Canis lupus familiaris: one gene and its partners. The protein of the gene in region 1 purifies or fractionates together with the protein of each later gene. This does not show direct contact. Links are inferred from orthologs where the notes say so. Each region holds a gene or a part of one and is shown on either strand. Other genes may lie near its edges. The genes, in order: VARS1, EEF1G and EEF1B2.

Region 1 (3,746 bases):
AGATCCAGACAGAAGCACCTCTCTGCCCACCCCGTGCCTCTAGCCTAGCCTGCGGCCCTTGGGGGTGCAGGCACCCAGCCCCAATCACACAAGACAAGACATGGGTTTTGTGGCAAAATATTTTATTGCTGCCACCCCATGGTGGACACTGGGGGTCATGAGGAGTCGGGTGTATCACAGCATCTTCTGGAATAGCGCAATGGCTTCATCCACCTTCTTGAGCTCTGCTTCTATCTGTTGGAGCTGCCGGTTGGACAAGGAGAGGGGGTGGTGGGTGATGAGGACCCAGGCCCAAGAGAGGAGACAAATGTCAGGAATGGGGGCACACAAAAAGAAAAAAAAAAAAAAAGGAATGGGGGCACAGCCCAGAGTCACACAAGTGACCCACAATGCCCACGATGGCAGGGGGGTCCAGGTTGGAAAGATGGGTGAGGGCCATATACAGTGAGTATTCTGGGGACTGTGAGAGCATGGCCAGCCCATCCCCCACTCATTCTCATCAGCCTCCCCCATCAGCACCTGCCCTCCCTCCCAGCATCATTGGCCTCTCAGGTCTGGCCTTCTGCCAGTGTTCAGTCCCCAAACACAAAGGGGCCTCAGAGGCCTTGTGCCCCAGCCAGTAGCCCCCACCCCCAGGTGGACAGTAGGACACAGGAGTTAGGGACGCAGGCTCCTACGCAGGCACTGGGTTTTCGTCTGTAAAATGGCAATGGCCATACCCACTGCCCTGAGCGGGCTTCCAGGCGAATGGATAGACAGAGCTCTGCTCAGCCACTACGGCTTCACCACTCAGCCTCCATTCGTTTCTCTCTGTGTCCATGTGGTTCACTCCACTGCTCCTCCCTGGAGATCCCAGGTGAGCCCGCTGGGCTTCCCGATTGTACTGGGCCCCAGACCAGCCCCTGGCATGTGGGATGGGGAGCAAGGGCTCTGGCGGGGAGGCAGGATACCTATTCTAGGTCTGCCTCCGTCCTCACGTTGCGGGTGTGACCCTGGGCTGTGCCCTGGCTCCTAGCTGTTCCTTGTGTAAGAGGAGGGAGCCCCTCCGGTTCAGGGAACCCCACCGGTTCAGGAGGTCCGGGCTATCTGCTCCCTGGTCACTGCCCAGGGCTGGGTGGAGTGCAGCCACGGGACGGGGTCTGACGATGGAGGGAGCACATGGTGTGGGAAATGGAGAAGGGGTGCCCGCCCACACCACATACTTTGGCTCTGTCGGCCTCCTGGACTTCAAGGGGCACCTTGACAGGGTAGCCTGAGGCAGCGCGGCGCTCCCGTAGACGCTGTGCCTGCCGCTGTGCCTCGCTGCGCTTGGCCTGCAGCTTGCCCAGTTCCCGGGCCGGGTCCACCAGGCCCTGCAGCTGCAGGTGGACGGAGCAGCGGTCAGATGCCAGGGCCACAGCACAGCCCTGTGGTGCAGGAGCCCCCAGGGCCAGGACAGCCACCACACCCGCGCTGGCCAGCGCCTGCACGTAGGCCGACACTGCCGATGCCAGAATGCCTGTGGCCTCATCAGCCACTTCCAGGAAACCTGTGGGGAAGGGAGGAAGGTGAGAGATCTGGCCCCAAGGAGACAGGACATGAGGCAACCGCACAGGACCATGGTCCCAGAGTGGGCTGAGGGGACAGGGGCACAAGGCAGGCATGAGGATACGAGGCTCACAGTCAGGCCTGATCCGGGTCAGGTTGTAGTCCGCACGCAGGGAGCGCACGGCTCGTGTGATGCTTAGGGCCAGTTCCATGGCAGCTTCCGCCTCAGGGTCCTTCCAGGAGCACTGCAGGGTGGAGGAGTGGTGAGGGAGGCTGGGGGGGCAGGCCAGAGGCCCCCTCCCAGCCATACCCCTTACCTCTGAGGGCTCCGGATAGGGGGTAACACAGAGACTAGGGGGTGCTTGTAGTGTCCGCCGGGGCAGCCTCTGGAATAGCTCCTCTGTCACAAAGGGCATGAAGGGTGACAGCAGCCGCAGGCCAACATCCAGGCAGGTGTAGAGGGTCTGGCGAGCACACTCGGCTACCACGTGGTCCATCCCATTCAGCACGGGCTTCAGGCACTCCTAGGGGACCGGGAAACATAGGCCTCAGGGACGTCTACCTCCAGCCCCAACTGTGCCTGTGAGGCTGGCTCTGGTCTCAGTGCCAACCACTGGCAAAGTGAGGCTCAGGGCTGTGCCGCCCCACACCCACCCTGCTTCTCACCAGGTAGACATCACAGAGCTCATAGAGCCAGAAGCTGTACTGGGCAGTGGTGACAGCTGGGAAATCGTAGGCCTGGAAGCCTTGGTTGCTAAGCCTCACCGCCTCAGTCAGCCGGCTGCGGATCCAGCGGTCCACCAGGCTCTCGTGGCCTCCAGGCTTGGGAAGAAAGAGCCTATCAGCTGGGAGGTACCATACGCCTGGGGCAGGGAGGCAAAAGCCCATGGCGGGGGTGGGCAGGAACCATGGGCAGCTCTACATCCCAGGAACCTGCCAGGTCTGAAGCCACCATGTGCCAAGTACATGAAAAAGAAAGGACAGCACCCCCCCATCTCCTTGAGGGAGGACCCCAATGCCCCAGGCTTACACTGTAACTGTCTGTACCTGTGTCCATCTGTCCCTTCAGTTACATGAAGGATCCTCCAAAGCAGGGCCTGGGCCACCTGACTCAGTGGTCAGGATCCTGACACAGCACTGGCCATGCTTGTGGCTGCCTGGGCGGGTGCTGCCCACCTCGCCGCCTACCAGGCCCTCACCTCAGAGATGGCTGAGGGCACAAAACCCTTCCCCAGGCCCCGGAGGGCAAACTTGGTGGCGTTCCAGAGCTTGTTGCAGAAGTGGCGGTACCCCAATATCCGGTTCACATCCAGGTTAATGTCACGACCTGGGTGGGAGTGAAGGGTGAGTCCTCCCCATCTCCCTCCTGGCACGTGCCCAGGGTGTAGAAGGACAAGGGTGGGCCTCAGGGAAGGAGGAAGGACTTGGATGAGAGGTTTTGGAGGCCATACCCTGGGACGTGTAGGCACAGAGTCCAAACCGGAGGGCGTCGGTGCCACACTCGGGAATGCCTGCCGGAAAGTCTGCCTTCTGTAGGAAGGAGTCAACGGGGGGGCGTCGTGAGGTGGCCGCACCCTCCTCGGCCCACCCTCTAGTCCCAGAGCCCAGCCTCAGTACCTGGCCATCTTTAGCCTTCTCCACCTCACTGGGGTCCAGGTTGCTGTTCAGTAACTGGTCATGGAGGCCCTGAGGAGGAGGTGGGAGTGGTCAGGAGTCGTGGCCACAGCCCCATAGCCCTGCCAGGCCTGGCCCAGAGCGCGGCCCCACCTGCAGGGAGACTCCATGGATGACGTCCAGGGGGTCGATAACATTGCCTAAAGACTTGCTCATCTTTCGGCCGTGGGCATCTCGCACGATGGCATGAAGGTAGACCTGGCGAGGAAGAGCAGGGAGGGCCCGTGACAATGTATGCCCTCACCCAGACCCAGTGCCTGCCCAGGGCCTGCATCTAGTCGGCCCCATTCTGAACCTCGGGGCTTCGGGGTCCCTACCAGCGCACTCAGCACCTTTGTGGGCATCAGAGGCACTCCCTCCTCTGCAAAGCCAGTGCACAGAATCACTGTGAGGAGGCCCTGGCTGAGGCCCACCCACGGCTGCAGCTGTGGCACGGGATGGGAGGGACTGTGGGGCGGGTTCGGCAGTCTTCACACCTCTCTGAAGGGCAGCTTGCCGGTGAGCTTCAGGCCAAGCATGACCATCCTGGCCACCCAGAAGAAAAG
Region 2 (3,215 bases), on another chromosome or scaffold:
CCAGGAAACAGCAAGGCCCATTTAGATTCTGGGCTCCAGTGAGTTCCCACTGGGTTCAAAATCCTGTCACCACAAGTTAAGTCCCTTAAATCTCTGAACCCCACTTCCTTGTGAGAAAGCAGAAATCCCCCAGAAATGATCCGCAGCCAAGTTAGGGCCCACAGGCCAGTGCCCGTTCTAGGTAGTAGGCTGGTACTGTGCCTGGTACTCCTGCTTATCTGAACTTTCTACCCAGACCCTTGATGCTACCTACCTCCCAGGGCAATCTGAGAAACACCATGAAGTTCCTCCACACACAGTGTGCTACCATACTTTAGCAACCTGGTCCTGCAGACTCAGGTAGTTACAAAGCTCTGTGTCACCAACCACCCGAACTGCACCCAGTCTTTCTCAGCTAGGCTAGAAGACAGCCATCACCGTACAGGCAGAGCATATAAAGTCGAAAATGAGGCCTCTGTTTCTGCTCTTCTGAAGACTTCTTTTTCCTGCAAAGGGAGGTATGCAAACCTAGAAAACACCCTGCTTCAACACTCCCCTTTGAAGAAGCCATCACTTAAAAAGGAGGCGGGACAGGTTAAGGGTTCAATGTTCAGTTTCCTTTAATGACCCCCATCTCCCTGAAGGGCAGGTACAGGCAGCTAGGCGATGATGACAAGAGATGTTTACTTGAAGATCTTGCCCTGATTGAAGGTTTTGCCCACATGCTGGAAGGCCCCCTCCCAGGAAAAGTACTCTCGAACCAGCGTCTGGGTCTCCTCGCTGCCAGGATCCAGTTTCCGCCACGTATAGGACTCGTAGTCCACCTGCCAATCTGGACTCAGCTGGGGAGAAAAAGCCAGGTTAAGAAGCGTGTGGTCCAATCAGATCCTGCCCCACACCTGTTACTTCCAGCTCAGCCACATGTCATCAGATCCTAAAACGCCTGTGACTGTGACAGTTCCTCCTGTACACATTCCTTGAACTCTCCTGAATGCCCATAAGCACAAGAATGAGAGTGTGCTTCCCATCTCCTTGCCCCACCCTAAAGAGAGCAACTCCTCCCCTACTCCTTTCCTCACCGGAAAGGCAAGCTCCTGGCCTCGGAAGACCCAGACTCCAGAAATGGAGCTGCTGTTGTTGGTTCCAAAGAGGATGACACTGGCAAAGGCATTCTTCCTCAGCTTGTCCAACCGTTGGAACATTCCTGACAGGGCCAAGGGAGAACAGAATCACAGTGGGTACAGCCTTCAGAATCACAGCACCCACTGCCTTGGCCTCCCCCTCCCTCAGCCCACCCTCTTCTCACCAGTGATGAGGTTACAACTCATAAAGGTCTGAGTGAGCTCCTCAGGGAAGCGGTACTCAGCGTACCACAGGGACCAGCCATCCTTATCGAAGTGCTCCCAGAAATACGGCAGTGCCACAGTGAGAGTGTCCTCATTGGAGTACTTGCGCTTAAATTCGTCCAACACAAAGGTACTGAATGGAGAAAAAAAGGCAAGATCGATGAGAAGAAGGTCCTACTGAGGCAACAAAGAGTCGCCAGGCTAAGAGAAGCTAAGGACGAATTTCACTTAAAATGTACTGGTTTAAAGGAAGAGCTCACTGGACTGGCAGATGGGTACAAGCTTGTAACAGAAGAAAGCTAAGGGCGTAGGAAGAAGGGCCTAGGCCACTCCTCTGCTCTCTCTCTGCAGTCTTAAGTAGGCTAAGCTCGAAGACAGTGGGACACCACACACACACACACACACACACACACACACACACACACACCCCCAGGGCCTGAGGGAGACCTGACCCAGGAAAAACACAGCAAACTGCTGCCCCCTGGTGGAAACCCAGAATGAGCGCTCATCCTTCCTGGCTAGCCCCTAGCCCCCTGGCTCCCTCCAGGGCCCTTTCCCACTGAGTCACAGTCCCTGATTCACCCAAGTATCTTCCCCTACCACAGGCCTCTTCGGGTTACACACACTACAATATGACAATGGAAGCAGCAAATGTTCTCAAAGAACCTCCGCCCCAGACTTTATACGGGTGGCCTTGAGTCACTGTGCCCAGGAACAAGCCCAGATGCTGAAAAGCCCTTAGGTTCAGCTGATCTTTGAGGCAACCTGGCACACTACACTGAGAAGGCTCAGCTATAGAGTTCCTCCCCTCATGGTAGGGGTTCTCTTTTTTTCTTTCCAGTTATAAAACCACATGCTGACTGAAGAAAATCATCTGCAATGCCAGTAAACAGAATTAATGTTTATGTACTTCCCGCTGGTGACTTCCCAAAGATGATGTATATAATTTTGTGCCTTATACAATTTGTTCATTTAACACTGTCCCCCTATCAGGGATTTTTTTTTTTTTTTTATTCATTTGAGAGAGATCACGAGCACCCAAGCACCCAAGTTAAAGCATAAGCAGGGGTGAAAGTCAGAGGAGGAGAAGCAGACTCTCCACTGAGCAGGAACCCCGATGTGGGGCTGGATCCCAGAACCCCAAGATCACAACCTGAGAAGGCAGACACTTGACCAACTGAGCCACCCAGGCACGCCTTACAAATGTTTTAATGGCTACATAATCCTCTACTGTAAAATGTGCCATAAACCTATTTAAGAAAACCCTAAGGATGCCTGGATGGCTCAGTGGTTGAGCCTTTGCCTTTGGCTCAGGTTGCAATACCAGAGTCCCAGGATCAAGTCCCACATCAGGCTCCCCACAGAGAGCCTGCTTCTCCCTCTGCCTATGTCTCTGCCTCTCTATGTGTCTCTCATGAATAAATAAATAAAATCTTTGGGGAAAAAAAAATTGGGATGCCTGGGTGGCTCAGTGCTTGAGCGTCTGCCTTCAGCTCAGGGCGTGATCCTGGAGTCCCTCGATTGAGTTCTACATTGGACTCCACTTGGGAGAGTCTGCTTCTTCCTCTGCCTGTGTTTCTGCCTCTCTCTCTCTGTCTCTCATGAATAAATAAAAGCCCTCGGGATCCCTGGGTGGTGCAGTGGTTTAGCGCCTGCCTTTGGCCCAGGGCATGATCCTGGAGACCCGGGATCAAATCCCACGTCAGGCTCCCAGTGCATGGAGCCCGCTTCTCCCTCTGCCTGTGTCTCTGCCTCTCTCTCTCTCTCACTGTGTGCCTATCATAAATAAAAAAAAAATAATAAAAAAAAAAAAAGCCCTCACTAAAAGTTTAATTGGACCAATTACTCATTAGTGTAAATGATGCTAACAAACCCTAGAGTTAGAAACCA
Region 3 (3,746 bases), on another chromosome or scaffold:
AATTTGGTCATTTCCCTTTTCTGAAGACCTAGCCCTTGTAAAAATACCATCAAATAATCTTACCACCAAGTTCCAAAATGAGTACCATCCGCCTTACTAAATTCTGTCGATGATATAAAGGTAAATCTGAGTTTGCTGAATCAGAGTAATGACAAACTGAAAATCAACAATCAACATTTCATACAACAATGTAAACACTTTATTATTTTGTCTCCAATACAGGAAAAAGGTATTGCCCACTTTAGTTAGGAAATCAACCAGAATTAGGTTGTCTCTTGAAAATCCAGCATCAAACGGAAGAGTGCATTACCCCAATAGATGACAGTTTTCCAAAACTTTCCTTCATCAGCCCATCTTAAATTTCCTAACCTACTCCCCAGGCATATCATCCATTTTATTCTTCTTCGTGGACTCATTTCTAATTTATAACAGACGTAAAATAACTGTCTGCTATAGGAGTTATATCTCAAATCTCTGCCAGAAATTTTCCTGAAAAAGCGCAGGCCTCTGACAGCCTTATAACACCCTGCACCATGCCATTGGGCGGGGTGGGGGGGGTGGGGGTGGGGGAGAGAACGTTCCCTAACGAAACAACTTGGATGTTTATTCATCAGAAACAGTTCACATTTTCAATGCTCTCCAATCATTCTGGAGCACAGCCGGGCCTAATCCACGCTCTTACGGTACATGTTAGAGCCCCACACGGCTGAACAACGTAGCTAGGTCATCTGCAGTGCGACCTTGGGCAAAGGTTTTAAATACCATTTTCCTCAGTTTAACCCACCAGGGAAAGGAATAAAAAAATAACTCAATGGACAAAAATGAAAACACAACAACAACAAAAATCCCCAGACGCATGGACGGCTGCTAAGGCAACGCCGGCCAACGTCTGGATTATGTGTGTTAACTTGGGAAACCGCTGCCTTGAGGCCTAAGTCACTTGACAGAGTCCTCTCCCGGGAACGTCCTGCGTCTCCCTTGCAGAAGGAAGGTCACTCCCACGCCTGCCTCCGCGCCCGCGGTCCCAGGGCCCCCAGGCTCCCCACCTGCCTTCCGCCCCAAGAGACCGGAGACCGCGGCCAACGGCGCTCACCTGCCGGCCCCGGGGGTCCCGGAGGAGGCGGGCTGGGACGCGGCGCCCAGTCAAGGGCAAGAGGAGGAGGAGTCGCCTGGCCTACAAGAAACCGTCTCGTCAAGAAGTCCACTCCTGTGGCAAGGGCCACCTCAGCCTTCTCCCGCAACCACGACCTCACCTTCTCGGCGGAGCCGCCAAAGCCGCTCTGCAGAACCGCCGCACCTTCCCAGCCCCCTCAGAGGCCCGATTGCTTATTCAACATGGCGTCCTCGGCAAACCTCGCCCGCCGGCCCTGGAGAACGGGAAGCCAGGAGGGACCAGAAACCTCAGATTCGAGAATTTCCCGCTTAGCGCGAGTTCGGCAATTTCCGGCAGCCGGACCGGGGGGCGGGGCGGAGGCGGGAGGCGGGAGGCGGGAGAGACGGTTGGGAACCGCAGTTCCGCCGGAAGTGGTCGGGCGCCTGAGGCCGAGCGTCTTCGGTCACCTCCGGCGCTTCGAGGGGCGGTTCCTGTAGTGTGCCGGAGCCGCGGAGGTACTAGTTTAAGGAATACTCTTTTTATTAGCTTATTTCTAAACACAAAGAAAGGCCGCTGGATAATTTGTGCGCCGTTCAATGCGGAGCTTCCGAGTTTTACGTGGAGGAATGAGGCTGTTAGAGGACGTTGACCCTTAACCTTTGACCCCGTGCGGCAGAAGGAAACGCCTCCGTCTCTATATAAGGCGTTTTCCGGCCTTTTGCGGCCCTTTTTTCCTCTCCCCCCTCTTAGCGCTGGGCGCCGGGTGCCTCCCCTCTTCTCTTCCTTCGCTGCCGCCCGGTTCTTGGAGCCGCCGACGCTATGGGTTTCGGAGACCTGAAAAGCCCCGCCGGCCTCCAGGTGCTCAACGACTACCTAGCGGACAAGAGCTACATCGAGGGGTGAGGACGGGCCCGGGCTGGAGCCGGGCTGGGCCGGCCACGTGGCGCGGCCTCGGGCGCAGCTGGGGGCCGAGGGCTTCCAAGGGCGCCTTCTTTGCGTTGACTGGATTCAGCCACCTTTTCCGCGTCTTCGCTCGGCCCGTGGACGTAAGCCCGTAGGTCTCCGTCAGAGATGCGAGCTCTGAGGTCCACGACGTGGCAGGGATTCCTCGGGAGAGGGCGGAAAACCAGACACATGGCCCCCGATCTTGAGTTTAGCGTCGAGAATAAATCACCTTAGGTTGCCCAGTGGCAAATGGGCCAGCTCCCAGCGCTCAGCTTGGTGGCCGTGGCGCTTGGCCCCTCCCCTCAGGGCGTGTGTGACTTGCCTCCCCGCAGGTACGTGCCGTCACAAGCGGATGTGGCAGTGTTTGAAGCAGTCTCCGGCCCCCCGCCTGCCGACTTGTATCATGCCCTGCGTTGGTACAATCACATCAAGTCTTACGAGAAGGAAAAGGCCAGGTAAAGTGACCTGTGTGTTTACCTGAAGGACAGGAGGCTTCCTAAGCTTCAGGTCAGGATCTTTCACGTGACAAAATTGGACCCAGGCTACGTGAGTTTTGTTGGGGTGATGTAAGCTGAACTAGCTCTGTGACTTGAGAAGGCCGAGAGACTGAAGTCCTGCATTTTTTCACAGAACACGTAGAACCTGGACCACAGCAATTCAACTTTTCCCCACACTGCCCTGACACTGTGCCCGGACCCTGACCTGGGGGGCCCGCGTCCGGGGTGAGAGGGGTGGCTCATTGATTCAGTCCTTGGCCATTCTTCTGAAACTGCCAACAAGGGTGGAAGTTTGGGGAAGTGGACTCCAGTTCACTAAGAATGGAACTGAGCATACTTAATCTCAAACAGAAATACTCATACTGAAAGAGTAAATCATAGTGAGTATCGAACGTAATGTCTCACATGCTGCTAATGTTTGTTGGGTGAGGAGTTAAACACACAACAGTATTTACCTGGGAGTGTTTACGGGCAAATTCTTAGTACCTAAGGGCTCTTTGGATAGTGATGGAAACAAGTTCTCGTGTACTGTCTGAGAGTTTACCAGCGTAGTGGTGGTTGAACTTATAAGTTTTGTTTTTTTTTTCCCCAAGCCTTCCAGGAGTGAAGAAAGCTTTGGGCAAGTATGGCCCTGCTAATGTGGAAGACACCACAGGAAGTGGAGCTACAGATAGTAAAGACGATGATGATATTGATCTCTTCGGATCTGATGACGAGGAGGTATGGCATAAGTTGGTGTGTAGATCGATGAGCTTAATCATAGGCTCTGTGGTGAAATTGCCTGGATTTGAATTCTGGTTTCACCCACTTCATGACTTGACTTATAAAAATTCTCACTGGTTATATGATGAATAAAATCAAATCACCATCTTTCGGCTGAGCTCCTGATGGATTTGCTTTTTCTGATAAAACTGGTCTTTGTTGTGATGGATTCACTAGCTTAAAGCTGAGGAACAACTGTCTTTGTGAAACATACTCTATTTTTCTTTATAGGAAAGTGAAGAAGCGAAGAGGCTAAGAGAGGAACGCCTTGCACAGTATGAGTCAAAGAAAGCCAAAAGTAGGTCATTTTTTTAAAATTTGTGCTGCTTTAATTTCATTTCATAATTGAGTAATCTTTTGAAGCTTGATTCCCAAAGTAATTGCCTCCACGTCATTGACTAGTTCAGTATTTAAAAATCTGTATACGTAGTTTTTCATAAAACTTCCAC

Evidence for each region.
Region 2: the proteins of VARS1 (region 1) and EEF1G purify together in Homo sapiens (affinity purification with mass spectrometry; 6 studies listed by BioGRID and IntAct, counting the BioPlex papers as one, with this or other methods). This does not show direct contact. The link is inferred for Canis lupus familiaris from reciprocal best matches to the Homo sapiens genes VARS1 and EEF1G.
Region 3: the proteins of VARS1 (region 1) and EEF1B2 fractionate together in Homo sapiens (co-fractionation; 3 studies listed by BioGRID, with this or other methods). This does not show direct contact. The link is inferred for Canis lupus familiaris from reciprocal best matches to the Homo sapiens genes VARS1 and EEF1B2.

Annotation. Positions count from the first base shown.
Region 1 is NC_049233.1:1,392,406-1,396,151, forward strand, and holds the end of VARS1 (valine--tRNA ligase), read right to left. Parts: coding exon 3,678-3,746; intron 3,400-3,677; coding exon 3,295-3,399; intron 3,214-3,294; coding exon 3,145-3,213; intron 3,058-3,144; coding exon 2,979-3,057; intron 2,855-2,978; coding exon 2,727-2,854; intron 2,350-2,726; coding exon 2,194-2,349; intron 2,052-2,193; coding exon 1,845-2,051; intron 1,773-1,844; coding exon 1,661-1,772; intron 1,529-1,660; coding exon 1,203-1,528; intron 244-1,202; coding exon 175-243; downstream 1-174. UniProt on the Homo sapiens protein: Catalyzes the attachment of valine to tRNA(Val).
Region 2 is NC_049239.1:54,591,060-54,594,274, reverse strand, and holds the end of EEF1G (elongation factor 1-gamma), read right to left. Parts: intron 1,459-3,215; coding exon 1,286-1,458; intron 1,184-1,285; coding exon 1,059-1,183; intron 822-1,058; coding exon 663-821; 3' UTR 575-662; downstream 1-574. UniProt on the Homo sapiens protein: Probably plays a role in anchoring the complex to other cellular components.
Region 3 is NC_049258.1:14,570,613-14,574,358, forward strand, and holds the start of EEF1B2 (elongation factor 1-beta), read left to right. Parts: upstream 1-1,480; 5' UTR 1,481-1,608; intron 1,609-1,843; 5' UTR 1,844-1,912; coding exon 1,913-1,992; intron 1,993-2,370; coding exon 2,371-2,493; intron 2,494-3,128; coding exon 3,129-3,255; intron 3,256-3,371; exon of another isoform or gene 3,372-3,449; intron 3,450-3,528; coding exon 3,529-3,595; intron 3,596-3,740; exon of another isoform or gene 3,741-3,746. UniProt on the Homo sapiens protein: Catalytic subunit of the guanine nucleotide exchange factor (GEF) (eEF1B subcomplex) of the eukaryotic elongation factor 1 complex (eEF1).